Linked DNA regions of Notamacropus eugenii. The protein of the gene in region 2 interacts with the protein of the main gene of each other region in a biochemical or structural test. Links are inferred from orthologs where the notes say so. Each region holds a gene or a part of one and is shown on either strand. Other genes may lie near its edges.

Region 1 (7,896 bases), on a different chromosome or scaffold from region 2:
CTACATATTTGTGGAAAGAGTTTGGAACTAGATGTTTTCCAGAATCCCTCCTAGTTCTAACATTCTAGACCAGGTTCTCCACCCCTGTTCTAGGCCTGCTGATTCGACTTCCCTTATAATGGATCTCAGTTTCCTCATCTGTTAAATGAAAAGATCTGCCTGCGGAAGGAATCTGTGTCACACCGTCACAATCACGGATATGGTCACGGTCACTACAGGATGGGAACGGAGGCAGCTGTGATGACGCCGCAGGTGTTCTTCATGGAGATGAGGCGGGCACCAGGAGTTCTTGAGTCAGTGAAGCTCTCTACGCAGCACTCCGTGGCTCACCAGCAGCACTTACTTCATCGTTTAGCTTCCGGGCCTACATCAGTCTTCTCCTCAGGAGTGATGTGCATCGCCAGGTGCAGGACGTAGAACAGGGCCCTGGGTCCCAAGGGAAGGGCCAAGCACGAGGTGGGGACCCTGTGTGTAGGTAGACGGTGGTCTGGGTGGTCACAAATAGGGAAAGCACTGGAGCAAAAGAGTGCTCCGGGCGTGGGACTAGATCTGGGCTAGGGATGGGGCTGAAACTGGGGAAGGGTGGGAAGGGGCGAGAATCCCGGGGATGGGGACCAGGAATTAACTTGAGGTCGAGAGGAACGATGGGAAAGATGCATGGATCGGTTGGGGAGTAGGACTTCTTCCTGGGGACGGGAACTAGTCTAAAACAGAGGAGAACTGGACTGGGACTCTCCTGGGGCGGGGCTTGTCTTGCAGGTAGGGCAGATTTTGGAGCCAGGACTGGGTTTAGGGACTTGGCCAGGTGTGGAGGGCGAGGTCTGGGAGGTGCCAGAGACGGGGGTGGGGCCTATGAAGGGCGGAGGGGTGCCAGTTACTGAGCACTGGGCTGATCTGGGGTGGGGAGTGGCTAGAGGCTGGGAGCTGAGCTGATTCTGGTCATGGAGCTGTCTGGGGGTGGTGCTAGAGTCTAATGACTGGCCGCGGTCAGACCCAGAGCCTGCCCTCACCGAAGTGAGGGTCCGAGAACATCCGGTGGGCGTAGAAGGCTAGGGATCCGGGCGAGACGTCCATGTGAGACGGCTATGGGGCAGTACCGGCTTGAGGGCTATGTTCCTGTAGCCGGCCAGGAGGACGGTGGGCTTGGACCCTTTGGCAGGGCACACATGCATTCCGGGGACCCAGGAAGCTGGATATTATTGCCTACCCTTTAGTCTCTTCTCGGCCCCCCACCGTTCACAGCTCCTTGCTGACCCTTTCTTTCTCTAGTCGCACCAAATAGTTCAGAGGAAGCCACAGGTCAAACCACGGGGCCACAAAGGCTTAAGCCAGCCCTAGGTGAGGGAGCATGTTTGGAGGTCACTTTTCTCAAGTTGAAAAGAACTCTCCTAACGCCTCCAAGAACATCCTGTCCCTTCCCCCAGCCCTAGCTTGTCCTCGGCCTCTGGAAAAGAGACTGGCTTTCTCAATGCCCTCCCAAAATCTCAGACAGTTTCTAGGAAACAGGTTACAAAGCACTTTACATAGACTCATTTGAGAACGTACTTCCAAGACTTATTATAAGCCTCAAATGAAATAATACAGGTGAAGAGCTTTGCAAACCTTAAAATGCTATGGAACTGTGAGTTGTTATACACTGGACCTGAAGTCAGGAAGTCAGGAGTTCAAATCCAGCCTCAGATATCTCATGGCTATGTAACTGGTCAAATCACTAAACTTCTCTCACTTTCCTCATCTATAAAATAGGCATGATTAATAACAGTAATAACACTTTTAGGTTGTCTCATTTGATCCTCACAACAACTCTGGGAGGTAAGTGCTATTTGCTATCCCCATTTTATAAATGAAGACTGAGGCAAAGAGGGTTAAGTGACTTGCCCAGGGTCACACAGCCAGTAAGTGTTTGAGGCAGGACTTGGATTCAGGTCTTCCTGACTCTAAGTCCTGTTTATTTATCCACTGGGCCACCACCTAAAATGGGACCAGAACTAGTTGTGTGACTGTGGGCAAGTCACTGAACATCTCTAGCAACCTTGTAAGATTATACGTTATGGGAGGTATCTGGGTCTGGTTTGGTGGCAGGACACATCCTGTGTTCCATACACAAATGAAAACAAAGCTTTAGATCAAGACGGGGGAAAAACTTCATGAAGTTGTGAGTAAAATGATTTGTAAGCTACTAAGTATATACAGTTTAGGGTGTGCTAAAATTTTCACTTTGGCATCTAGATGGCCAAGTGGATGGAGCTGTTGGGCCTGGACTCAGGAAGATTCTTCTTCATGAGTTCAAATCTAGCCTCAGATACTTACTAGCTGTGACCCAGGGCAAATCATTTAGTGTTGGTTGCCTCAGTGTCCTCATCTGTAAGATGAGCGAGGAAATGGCAAACCACTCCAGCGTCTTTGCCAAGAAAGCCCCAAATGGGGTCATGATGAGTCAGTCACATCTGAAACAACAACAAAAAATTACTATGTGTCAGCCATTATGCTAAGTGCTAGGGATAGAAACAAAAAGGAAATAGTTTCTGCTCTCAAGAATCTTATTTTCTAATGGAGAAACAATATCTACATTCATACATGTAAGTAAATACATCACATATACCATGTAATTTCATAGGGAGCATTTGCTATCACAGGGTTCAGGAAAATCTTTGAGCCCCAGGTGATCGGAGATTGCGAGGAAGCTCTGCATTCTAAGAGGCAAAGATGGGAAGGGAGAACATTCTAGGCCTGTGGGAGCTGTGCAAAGGTATTGAGATGGAAGTTAGGAATGTTGTGTACAAGGAAACAGCAAGCAGGCCAGTTTGACTGCTGTGTAAAATATGTGAACGTGAGTCATGTATCAACCTGGAAAGGCAGCCTGGCATCATACTGAAAACGCCTTCAGTAAGAGGCTGTGTGGAGGTTGGATTGAAGAGGATAGAGTCCAGATATAGAGAGGCAAGTTAGGAGGCTACTTCAGTAGTTAGGACAACAGGTGATAAGAGGTGGTTCCAGGATAGGCTAGGGTGGTTATAATATAGGGGGAGAGTAGGGAGAGATGGAGATACTGAGGCTGTAGAATGGACAAGGCTTGACCATTGGTCTGTCTAGAAGAAGATGAAGACTCAAGGCTAGCTCCAAGGTGACAGACTTGAGAGACTGGAAAGATGATAATACCCTCAATAGAAATGGAGAAGTTGGGGAAATGAGTAGGGTCATATCTACTTCTCAAACCTACCCATTTCCCCAACTCCCCTATTATTGAGAGCATTACTGTCCTTCCAATCTCTCAAGTCTGGGGAGAAGATAATGAATTGTGATTGGACATGTTGAGTTTCACATGCCTACAGGTCATCCAATTGAACGTGTACAGAGATTGTTGGTGATGTGGGCCCAGAACCTGGAACAACCACAGCTGGATAGACATATCTGCAGAGAGGAGATAGTAATCCTATAAGGAGGTGGTGAGATTACCAAGACAGAGGGTATAGAGAAAAGAAGAGGGCCCCAGTCAGAGCCTGTAGCAACACGAAGTATAAGAGGTGGTGGGGTGGTGGGGATGATGATGACCATACAGCAAAGGAGGCAGAGAAGAAGCCCACACAGACAGGTGAAGGTAGACCAAAGAAAGCTGTGTCAGAAAAGTTCTGAAAGGAAAGAGTCTGGGTGTGGAGGATGGCCAACGGTGTCTAAAGTTGCAGAGAGGCTACTGTAGTCTTCCCTACCATACTGGTGACCAGAGGCCATAACCCAGTGGTCCCCTCTACCCATGAGGTCCACCTTGGAATTCACCAGCTGAGTGCTGTTCCTCAATGCTGAGGCCACTGCCCCAGGGAATCTCTGAGCCACCTAGAGCACCATGGGTGCCTCCCTCAAACCTCAGACCAGGCCACTAACACCTGCAGGAAACATAAATCCTTGTCCCACCCCTTCTGCCTTGAGGTCCTTTGTCAGCTTGTGACTACATTAAATAACTAAAGCCTCAGGCAGGGCCTCCTGGGGGGGTGGGGGAGGGGACTGGAACAATCCCCTCCCTGTCTGCCACACCCTAGCCCCATCCTTTTCTTTCATTTGTACCTTCCAACCCTCTCCCGTGGGGAAACTGGATTGGCTGAACTCCACTGGGTATAATATAATCCCCAACCTTTGCTGTCCCCTTAAGATCCTGCTGTGGTTATCTATTTTTGACCTATCTCCTCCATTGAGTGGGGAGCTCCTGGGACCAGAGGCTATTAGTCGAGGAGGCTCTCCAAAGGCAGGGACAGATGCTCCCTTCCCCCAGGGTGGATACCTGGCAAAAACCAGGTCAGGCTGACAATTCATTCCCAGTTTCAATATTTGAATATCTGTGTTGCCTAATCCCTGCACAATAAGGGACAGTGTCAGTTAGGTGACCTAGCCCACACACCGCCTCCCTGTGATTCTCTTCCTGTCTCTACCCCTATATAACTCATGTTACTACAGGTAGTAGCTGAACTGGCTCTTGAACCCAGAACCCCTGACTCCAAATCTGGAGCAATTTTGACTACTTTGTGTTGCTTGCCCCATCTGAGTTTAGAGGCAGGAGATCTGTGGGGAGTGAAAAGAGTATGGAATTTGGTGTTAGGAGACCTGAGTTTAAGGCCCAGCTCTGCCATTTTACTACCTATGTGATGTTGGGTAGGATACTTCAGCTTCCTCTCAGAATCTCATCTGGAAGAAGCCAGCTAATCCAAACTATTGTTTGTCCTTCATTTTGAAAAAGCACCAGTTACATATTGAGTGATGTCTTCACTTGCTCATGAATTGGATTTAAGTGAGGAAAAGTTGCACAAAGTCATCAGCCTCACTCTCTTCTTGAGTCATCCAAGTCCAGTGGCAGGAGCGAAGTCAGGATGATTGGTGATAGCCTGAGATGCAGTGGATGACCTTGGCATCTTCAATGTCTGACCAAGCTCTAAGTGCTCCACAGAGCTTGCTTCAGCTGCCTTCATGGTCGGTGGAACAAATTATTCTCATCTGCCCATTCCTCCAGGTAAGTCTTCATAAGCTTGGGGTAGATATCCCCTTAACTTGCTGATAGTTTTTCGGTCTGTCAGGTATCCTCATCCTGGTTTATCCTGTCTGCCAAGGGGATTTTACCAAGGTGTGACCACTGCTCATGCTACAGCTTCTTGGAGTGACAGGTGAGAATTAGGTGAGAGGTGAACATCAAGGGTGGATGAGCAGCCCTCATGCCAGAGGTGCTGGTCCTCCCTGAACACCCCATGTACAAATGCAGAAGGAAGTAACTAAAGAAAGAAGGAAACATGCATTTACTAAGTACCTATTATGTGCCAGGCACCTTACAAATATCTCATTTGATCTTCATAACAACTTGTGCTACTATTACCCCCATTTTATAGTTGGGGAAGTTGAGGCAAAGAGAGGTTATATAACTTGTCCAGGGTCAAACAGCTAATAAGTGTCTGAGGCTGGATTTGAACTTGGTCAGTCTTCCTGACTCCAGGCCCAGTGTTCTGTCCCCTCAGCTACAGAATCAAAGAATCTCAGACCTGTCAGTCCCTAGGTGGCCATCTGGTCCAACTCGTACCTGAACAACAATCTCTCCTACAATACAACTAAGGAGTAGTCATCCAGCCTTTCATTAACAACCTTGAGCGAGGGGGAACCCACCACATCCTGGGGGACTCTGATCTGCTTTGGGTTAGTTCTGTTAGGAAACTCTTTCTGACATCTACTTCTGCATCTTCCAAACTAGTTTTTTTTGGGGTGACCAAGCATAAGAGTTTGGTCATGCCAGTTTCTCTAAGATGCTTTCCTGAACTGAATAAAGATGAGATCCGAGTCTTGGGACCCCTCAGCTCACCTTCTTCCCTTGGCCTGTGTTCAGGTGCTCTTCCTCTTCCCTATGACCTTGGTAGATGGAGCCATTCCATTCTATTCTTGTCTGTCTGCACTCTGCCCAGTGACCTGGCCCTGAGGGAAAGATGAGAACTGGGGGAGGAAGGCCCACTCTTAACCCAAGCCCACTGATTAGAAATAATATACAAGTTTTCAGAGGAAGGGGGTCTGCGGTATAAATGAGAGGTCTCTCTCTCTTCTTGTTTGGGAGTTCCTTAGGGTGGGAAACACAAGTAGGCCCACCATACACATCTGAGGCTAGAGACTGTTCCAAATCAACCCCACAGAGCACAAGTGATCCATTTTCCTGGCTCCCCAGAAGCTCTGAGATGCCCAGCCCTTAGTAACTTCTTTAAAAGGATACATTCACCAGCTCCACCCTTCATCCCCGAGGGCAAGGTGTTCCAGTGAAAGTCAAAGACCTAGAGCAGGGTGGAGGATCCTACTCTGCTATAGGCCCAGTGACAAAGGAAACCAAAGGAGAAGGGGGCAGGACTTGAAAGGAGCCAACTCTCTGCATTAACCAGGAAACATACAGGGCAGTATGACCTCACCTCCCATCTCACCTGCTCCTATCTGAAGTTGAGACCTCCTGGGAAATCTGCCAACTTCTAGCCCTCTGGGTGATGTATCTGGGTGTTGTATGCCCAGAAAGCTCTAGGACAGGGTTGGTAGGGAACAGGAAAATGACCAGAGCTGTTTGAAATCTCTGCCTACCAGACAAAGCAGTTTTAAGGGTGTGGTCTAGGTCCTTTCTTTGCTTTCCTGACCTTCTTCCAGTCTATCTGTTCTGAGATCAAGGATTATGATTTTTCAGAAAATGAAAGGAATAGAGCTGAAAGGAACCTGAGAGACCTTGTTGTTGAAGTCTGATCTCCTCTACAAACATCATCCACCAGTGGTCATCTTGCATCTGTCTGTGGACTTGCAGCAATGTGGAGCTCACTACCCATCAGAACATTCCATCCCATTGTTGGCTGGCTCTGACAGCTAGGAAATTCTTTCGTATATTGATCTTTCCCCAACTAGACTTCTATGTACTCGTTTCAGCTCTGCTCACTAGGTTCTAGACTGATCTTATGGGCAAAAGCAAGTCAAGTCATTTGCTATGATTCCTGAGCTAGAGCTACTGTATCAGTAGATCCTGACTCTCCAAGGTCAGGCCATAAGACCAGATGCCTAGAGAATCAAGCCAGAGATGCTCCTCACTTATCACCTCCATTCTCAGTAAGGACCAAAACCTAACAAAGCAAAGTATGCTCTTACAAGTACCCAAGGACACAATTCTATTGGGGATGACCAACAGTCATCTAGTCCTAATTGAACATTTGCTGCATATCCAATCATGTATTTGGGACCTGTAGGAAGACAGAAGAGGGAGAAGCAATGGTTTCCCATCTTTAGGGAGTTTAGACAAGATAAAGAATCATAAATTGTCACAAATTTCTGGAACAGGCCTTAGCACCTAGAATAGTAGAGCTTAGAAGGGGCCCTAGAAAATGCTGTAGTATGTCAAAGTTGGGAAGAGCCTTAGAACATATAGACTGCTGGAGCTAAAATAGGCCTTAGCTTATGGAAAGAGTTGGGTAGTGCCCAAGAACATAGAATGTGAGAGCTGGGAAGTTCCTTAGAAGATAGAAAGTCTCTAACCTTAGAAGAATCTTTAGAACTTAGGATGTCAGAGCTGGGAGGGCCCTTAGAACAGAACATCAGAGTTTAAAGGACCCCTAGAGATCAAATCCAATTCTCTCAAGGGGAAACTGAAGCCTGGAGAAGGGAGGGGACTTGTCCAAGGTCTCAAAATAAGTTAGCAACAGAGCCAGGACCAGATCTTGTGATCCCCAGTCTGGTATTTGTACTACTCGACCTTCAGTCTCTTGGAACCAATATTAATGCAGGCAGGCAGTCCAGTGAGAGAGACACAGACAGTAAGCTTTGCTGCAGGCCTGCAGAGAGTGGAGAGGCCCTGAAACACGTGGGAAGGATTAAATAGTGAGGGGGAGGAGGACATGCGATGCAGGGAGAGCTCTC
Region 2 (7,920 bases):
GTGAACAGAATCACACTGAATCATAGAATTTGAAACTTGATGGGAGATTAGAAACCACTGAGTCCAATTATTTTGTTTTCCAGAGAGGAAAACTGAGTCCCAGAGAGAGGAAGTGACTTTCTCAAAGACACACAATGATTTAGAGGAAGAGCCAGAATGAGCACTCCCATCTGACCTGGTCCAAAGCTCAGGGCACTGGTTACCCCCTCTCCCAATCAGTCCCCTTCATGTAACATCCAGGCCTACCTTGACATGCTCTTTTTCCAGGCTAAAGTTAAAAATGAAAGGATCTCATAGTTGGGAGGAACCTTGTTCAAACTCCTTCTCAGCATAGAAATCCTTTCTATGTATAGCCTCCCTGAGATTCCTCTTCAGGACTTCTGAATGTGTGCAAACTCACTGTTTCCTGAAGAAGTCCACTGGTTTTTTTTGTTGTTTGTTTATTTAGCAGTTCAAATTGTTAGGAAAGTGTTATTTGAGGTACAATCTGTCTCCCTGTAACTTTTACTCATTGTACCGAATTCTGCCTTTTGGGGGCCAAAGCAGAATAAGTCTAATCCATCTTCTCTATAATAAATACCCACAGACATCACAGGATCTCAAGGAAAAGCAGAGGTTAAAGTGATTTGCACATGGCCATACATCCAGGAAGTGTTGGAGAGGCAAGATTCAGACCTGCGTTTTCCAGACTCCACATCCAATCCTGCCTCTCACATAGCACAGAAATGTCAAGGTAGAAGAGAACTGAGCAAAGGCTTTTGGGGTCTGGCAATGAAAAGGTCACTGGTGATGACCTTGGAGAGACTCACTAAGTAGTTGTGGGGATAGAAGTCAGATTTAAGTGGGCTGAGCAAGAGGAGGTCCAGAAGTTGTGCAATTAAGGGAAGGAGAGAGATATAGGACCATGCTTTGAGAAGAGGGGCATGATAAAGGGAGAGTTGTTTGTTTTTAGGGTTACAGGAGACCTAAGTACTGGAAAAGCAGAGGTATCATTGGGGGGTGGGGTAGGGAATGGAGGGCAGTTGAAGATATTCATGGCCAGCAGCCTCTGAAATTGGAATAGGTTATAGGATGAAATTGGGGCTCATCTAAATAATTTTCCAACAATCAGAACAGTCTAGCAACGTGATGGGCTGCCTCATGCCACAGTGAGTTTCCTGTCCACAGGAATGTTCAAGAAGCAGCAGCATAACCACTTGTTAAGGATTCTAGATTATTTCCATGTCCTGATAAGTAAGCCTTCTCTTTCCCTAGGATCATAAACCTAGAATTCAAAGAAACTTCAGAGGTCAAACCATCTACTCCAACCTTATTCTACATATAGGGAAAGTGAGGTCCAAGGAGGTTGCGCTTTGCTCATAAGAGGTGGAATCTGACTCTAGAATAATGTTCTCTAGCCTGAGTACTATGTTCCTTCAATTCCCAGTTTCTCTTTATTGTGTATGTTTCTTTTTTCCTCTAGATGTGCTTATCAATATCCTCAAGTGTGGTGCCCAGAACTGGACACAGTATACCAAGGAAGGTCTGACCAGAGCAGAGGTCAAGGGTACTAATGCCTCCTTCCTCATTCTGGGCACTCCGCCTCTATTGACGCTGCCTTCAGTCACTTGACCTTTTTTGCTTGACATATAGAACTTGCACTCAGTCCACTAAATCCCGAAGATTCTCAATTTAAGAATAGTTTATCTGTTCATGCCTGTTGGGGAAGTGCAGTTGATTTTTTGAACCATTCCTGACTTTACATATGTATTTATTGCATTTCAATATATTAGATTTGGTCCAATCATATATTTTTTTAGATTTGGACTTTGTCAATATAGTAACTCAATGATCAATCATCTCCTTCCTCCCCTGCCTCCAATACTTCTGATTTTGTATCGCCTGCAGACTATATCTTTTTCCATGTTTTTCTGAACTTCCACCCTCAGCCGGACTTGGTGCCTTTTCCCTGTTCCGTGGCCTTTCTTGGTGCTTGTTCTCACCTGTGCCTGGGCCATACTTGGCACTGTGGGCCCACCCCGTGGCTTCGGTAAAGCCCAGCTCCCGGCACAGCACATGAGCTGCTTGCAGTGTGAAGTCATCATCACAGATGGTACCCCACTCGCCAGCCCGTTGTATTTCCACACGGCCCTCATAGTGCTTCCGAGGAAAACCAGCTAGGCGGAATCGAAGCTTGCTACCAGTGCTCGATGCAGGGCTTGGGGATGGAGAGGGGGTTCCCAGGCACCAGGTACATAACATGCATAGAAGCAGTCCCCGAAGGCCCCACTGCTGGCCCCCGGCGACCTGTGTGTCAGACATGGTCTAAGAGAAATAGAAACCCAGACTTTAGTGATAGCAAGATGGTGACAGAGACAGAGTGACAATATGGTAGAGATGGAGACCTGAATTAAGAGAATGAGAGACAAAAACACCTTTGATGACACACAGAGACATAGAGACACAGTAAGGCAGAGAGACAGGTGAGGGAGGGAAGGAAGGAGATAACCTGTGAACTCAACAGATGAAGAATGACAGACTGATTAGGAGACACAGCATGAAAGTGATGTAAGAATGGTAAACAGAAGTCAATGAGATAGGTTTCTGTTGAATCTTGATTGAGGAGGAGGAATAGTGGTTAAGAAAGCAGCCCTTTATGCTCAGAGCTGGGAAGTAAACGCAAGCTCATCAGAGCATGTGCAAGAGAGGCTCAGAGAAACACAATTCACACTATGTTACACACACACACATGCACACACACACGCGCGCGCGCACACACACACACACACACACACACACACACAGAGTCCCAGGCAGGCACACATAATTTTAGCTGCATGGATCACACACAGCTGCCCACACCAGAAGTCATAAGCCTCTATGTTGATAGTGACACAGGAAACAAGGTCCTGGATGATGCCACTTTGACAGTCACACACTGAGGCTCCTTGGTTACCTGTCCCAGGGGAACACGGGGACCCAGAGGGACCAGGGTTGAGGGATGGGGCGGAGCAGTGGGAGCCACTGGGAGAGAGGGAGGGAAGGAAAAGGAGGGAGCGTGAAGGTCCAAGCGGTTACTGAGGCAACAGAGACTAGGCCAGAGAGACAGGCCCAATCCCTGGGGGGATGGGATAGGAACAGCTGACTTTGGGGTTTGGCATCTCTATCCCCTGCAAAGGAGCCTTTGGTGGGAGCAAACTGGACCCTGCCCTATCCCCCCTCCCCACCCCCACCCCAGCTCTAGCCTTCTCCTCTACTCTCCCTCCAGTCCTCTATGGAAACTTTGACTTTTCTGGGCCAGACTCCCAGCAGACTCTTGTCCTCTTTTTCCCTTTCCACCCTGCTGGCCTCCTACCCTGTCCGACCCTCAGACACGGTTCTCATCCCCTCCCTTGGCTGCCACACTCTCTGCCCCCTGCCAGGCTGGACCCCTTTCTGTCTCTCCCACTTCCCCTGCACTGGTCATCAAACGACTCTTTCACAGAACCGGGAACTGGCCGATGACAGAAAGTATAAAACAACTTCAAGTGTCGGTTATCTTCACCCCCACAAGCCCCCTATACCCTGTGTCCCCCATCCTATGTTCACCCCGATCTTTCCCGTCTCCAGCACCCTCCTGTTCGTTTCTTCATCCTTATTACCTGGGTCCCCCTATTTCCTACACCCTCCTATATCCCCTATTACTGTTACCCACACACTCCTAGTTGTCCTACACCCAACTCTCTACTCCCATTTTCCTCACATTTTCCTTGTAAATCCCATTCCCCGCTGGCCCCTGGCCCCCCATCCTCCAGTGCTCCCACTTCTTTCCCAGTGACCATCATCCATCCCTCCACCCTCCCAGCCCCCCTCATTCCTCATTCCCCTGCTTGTCTGCTCTGTTCCCCTCTCCCCAAGCGCCCGTACCTCTGCGCTGGAAGTTGCGTCCGAAGGAATGGGATGGGGGAAGCCAGTCCCGGCCTCAGAGCCTAACCCAGGGACTTCCAAGAAAGTGCCGGGCTCTGGGAGACTGGACGCCCCTCCCTCAATCCCTCCCACCGTTCCACTCTGTCTGTCCCTCCCCCTCCCTGGCCAGGCAGGCCCCAGCCTCGCCTCCTCCCCTCCGCCCCTGGCCTCTCGGCTCAATGAGGCTTTCTTCCCCCGCTGGCTGAGGCTGGAGGACACCCGGGGGCCCGTGTTGGGCGAAGCCCCTGGCTTGGAACTTGGAGAAGCCTGTGTTCATTTCTCGAACTTCACCCCTTTGCCCATCCCCCAAGGCCCCTGCCTTCTTCCACCCCTCACCCCCTGAGGTTTCGGTGGAGTGTGGGCTGGCTTGGACCCTGAACACGTGTGTGTGTGTGTGTGTGTGTGTGTGTGTGTGTGTGTGTGTGTGTGTGTGTGTGTGTGTGTGTGTGTGTGTGTCTGTCTGTCTGTCTGTCTGCACGGACTGCGTGCGCGCTGCGCCTGCGGAGCCTGACACACGCCTGGGTCTGACTTGCGGACGATGGAGGGGAAGCTCTGCGAGGCAGCGGAGCTGTCCTCGCCGTCCCGGGCCGGGAACCTGCCCCGAGGGAGCCTCCCTGCTGGGGCTCGAGCCTGCGGTGCAGAGGCGTGGTGCCCCGGGTCTTGCACCCAGTAGGCACCGCAGGAGGAGGAGGCTGAGCGTGTGCTGACTGTGCCGGGCGTGCGTGTGGGGAGGCAGGGTGGGTCTCCCGAGTCCTCCCACTTCTTTCCTTTCCGGGCGTCGGGGCCGGCCGGCCGCAGGAATGTTGGCCGCCCCGGCGGCTCCCGTCCAGTCCCCGTCTCCGGGTCCCGCAGGAAGCCCGGAGGCCGGCTCGGGCACTCGGGGCGGGGAGCTGGGGGTTCGGGATGGGGGTGATCCCTCCCCCCAGCCCCGCCCCGCCCCGCGGGCCCCGCCCCGCCCCCGCCCCGCAGCGCCAGGAAGCGTCCGGAGCCGCCTGGGGCCATGGACGGCGCCGCCATGGACGGGGCTGCCATGGAGGGACCGCTCTTCGTGCAGAGTCAGCGCTTCGGGGCCAAGGTGGCGGCAGGGGCAGGGGCGGGGGCCGCGGGGCGGCGGCCTGCGGGGAGCCCCTGGGCTGGGAGCGGGAGGGCCGCAGCGGGGCCCGAGGCTGGTCCCGGAGAAGTTTCTCCCCAAACTCCGGAGGAAGTGCCAGCCCCACCACGCTTCCTCTAGCCTCGGCGGGACGGAAATGCGCCCACCCCCACCAGGGAGCTCCGCCTCCTTTAGGAAACCCCACCTCTCCCAGGATTGGGGGGCGGCTGGGGCAGGGCTCGGATCCTCAGCTCCTGGCCTGGGGTCTTTGCGGGAGGCCTCCCTCCGAAGTTGGAGACCTGTGCCAGTCATGGCCCCTGTCATTGCCCTCAGCCCTCCCGCCCCCCCACCTTCTGTATGGGGTTCCCTTGCCTGCCCCCGTAGAGGAAGGGTGATGCAGGGCGAGCCTGCATGTTCAGCCCGTCTCGTCCCTTCATTTCTCTCTCATTTCCTGGTTTTCCCTGCGTGTTCACGTATCTCTTCACCAGGGTTTCTGCCCAAACGGGTAGGAAGATGAGGCTGCTGTGTTATACGGAGAGCCAGTTCCCCTAACTTCCCTCTCCTTCAGTATGTCCACATCCCTTTTTCCCAGGGCCTTCCCGTAGTATTTCCTTGTATCTCTTCCTCTCCGTGATCTCTGTACGCTGACCTCCACCCTCCCTCGTCCCAAAGGTAGAGCTAAGTCCCGGGCATCCCATGACCCTCCTCCGTACCTTCCCCATGCTCTCCTCTTCCCAAATGGCTTCTCAAAGCATTCCCCACGTTCTCCCCACTATAGAAGTGGAAGAAGGCCTGGGCAGCCTTGTACCCCTCCAGTGCCAGCGGAGTTGCCCGGCTTGAGTTCTTTGAGCACAAAGGGTCAGGCTCTGGAGGCGGGTGGGGAGGCTCTCGCCGCCTAGACTGCCGAGTGATTCGTTTGTCGGACTGCGTGAGTGTGGCCCCGGTGGCCTTGGACAGCCCCCCAGGACCTGGCACATCGGTCTTCCGACTGGACACTGCTCAGCGCTCCCATTTCCTGGCAGCTGAGGGCCCTGCCAGTGTTGCCTGGGTGCAAATGCTCTGCCAGACTGCCTTTCCGGTGAGAGGGTTGAATGATTGGGGATGCTGTCTAGGGGAGTCCATTTGGTGAGGGAGCAGGTTCAAGGTCGGAGTCAGTGTCTCCTCCCCCCCACTCCCCAACTTGATTGGACTCAGACCCCAGGTGGAAAACACTGATGCTTTCTCCCCTGCAGAAAGGCTGCTGGTCTCTGGCTCCTGGTGAAAGCTCTTCGGGGCCCTCTTCAATGGAGATGCAGGAGAACTCCCTGTACAGCCCCCATGGGCAAGGTAGGGGTAAAAGGAGAAAGGGATGGGGAGAGGGAGGTCCAGGGACATGAGAAGAGAGGGCATACCATGGGTCTGGAATAGGGATTCCACAGCCCTCACATGGGGCTGAAGGTCACCTGGAGGATTGGGGGGAGGGGGCGTGAAGCTCTTGTGGGTCTGGTGTCTAGGTATGATCCAGTCCCTGTTAGGACCTGAGTGTCTTTCCCCTTTTCCATCTGGGAATGTTTCAGTGTGACCCTTCCTCTCTCCCCAGGGTCTGAGTTCTGGGTGACTGTACAGAAAACAGAGGCATCTGAGCATTGTGGGCTGCAGGGACACTACCTGCTCAGGGTGGAGGCCAATGGTCTGAGTCTGCTGGTGCTGGGGGGGCAGGGTCAGAAGAAGGAGCCCCTGCTCACCTGGCCCTATACTCTTCTCCGTCGATATGGCCGGGATCGGGTAAGGGCTTGGGATGGGTCAGAGGTGCCACTATAGAAGGAAGCAGAGGATATACAGAGGGGAAGGCTAGGAGTGTGTGGTGGGTCCCCTAAGGCCCAAGAGCTGACTGCTGCTAGGATGACCTCAGGTAAGCCTCTTCTCTCCTGTGCATAAGTTTGCTCACCTCTGCCCTCTTCGTCTGCCTCCAGGCCATGTTCTCCTTCGAGGCTGGACGGAGATGCCCCTCAGGCCCTGGAACCTTCACTTTCCATACTTCACAAGGGAATGACATCTTTCAGGCTGTGGAGGCTGCCATCCAAAGGCAAAAGGTTCAAGCTGGCATTGTTTCTGGAACCGGCGCAGGCCTGGATCAGCAGTGGCCTGGCTCATCAGAGGTGGGGACAGCAGGGGCTGCCTCCCAGGGCCTTGAAGATCCCCACGCTCATGGCCCTGCCCTCTACTCAGAGCCCTTGGATGCCCTTCGGTCGCTGCCTGACTCCACTTCAGACCCCTTGTACTCAGATCCTGTGGACAGTTCAGGCCAGAGGACAGGACATGGGGCTGGAGGAGGCTCCCCCCTCTACTGGGGCTTGTTTGAACAGGTGCAGCAGCAGCTTAAAGATACAAGGCTGGGAAGAGTCAAGAAGGAGCCTATTTATGATGAGCCTGAGGGCCAGAGCCCAGCCCCGGCTCCAGGCCTCTATGACAAGCCCCAGGAGCCCAGGGATGCCTGGTGCCAGCGAGCCCGGGTTCGGGAGGAGGGCTACGAGCTCCCCTATAACCCTGCTATGGACGACTATGCTGTGCCCCCTCCAAGGAACCTCAAGCCCATTCCACCCCCCAAGCCCCAAATGCTCCCCCGGTCTAACAGCCCCAGCAGTCTCGCACTCCCAGTGTACAGCCGGGTACAGAAGGGTGCTACTGCCAAGGGCTGGGGCCAGGGCATGCCTGAAGGGGGATCTCAAAGCAGGACTGGGATGAAATCAGAAGGGCCAATGTAAAGACCTGGGTGAGGCTTGGAGGGCCTACGTGGGTGCTGGGGAGATGAGTGATCCCCCCGAGAAAGGGGAGGCCTATTTGAGGCTAAAGGGTATCAGTGAATCAAGGTCCAGACCTCAGAAAAGCAGGGTCAGGATTCCAGGGGATTAGGAAAGGACCAGACT

What was found. The genes of interacting proteins can lie anywhere in the genome.
Region 1: the proteins of DOK1 (region 2) and FGR form a complex in vitro, tested with the Homo sapiens proteins (2 studies listed by BioGRID, with this or other methods). The link is inferred for Notamacropus eugenii from reciprocal best matches to the Homo sapiens genes DOK1 and FGR.

The regions. Positions count from the first base shown.
Region 1 is NC_092876.1:68,801,971-68,809,866, reverse strand, and holds the start of FGR (tyrosine-protein kinase Fgr), read left to right. Parts: upstream 1-4,876; coding exon 4,877-4,996; exon of another isoform or gene 4,997-5,252; intron 5,253-5,830; exon of another isoform or gene 5,831-6,674; intron 6,675-7,896. UniProt on the Homo sapiens protein: Non-receptor tyrosine-protein kinase that transmits signals from cell surface receptors devoid of kinase activity and contributes to the regulation of immune responses, including neutrophil, monocyte, macrophage and mast cell functions, cytoskeleton remodeling in response to extracellular stimuli, phagocytosis, cell adhesion and migration.
Region 2 is NC_092877.1:46,850,548-46,858,467, forward strand, and holds the start of DOK1 (docking protein 1), read left to right. Parts: upstream 1-4,924; coding exon 4,925-4,999; intron 5,000-5,792; coding exon 5,793-6,092; intron 6,093-6,246; coding exon 6,247-6,340; intron 6,341-6,593; coding exon 6,594-6,778; intron 6,779-6,966; coding exon 6,967-7,758; 3' UTR 7,759-7,920. Other genes in the region: LOXL3 (lysyl oxidase homolog 3), read right to left, coding at 1,983-2,301. UniProt on the Homo sapiens protein: DOK proteins are enzymatically inert adaptor or scaffolding proteins. They provide a docking platform for the assembly of multimolecular signaling complexes. DOK1 appears to be a negative regulator of the insulin signaling pathway.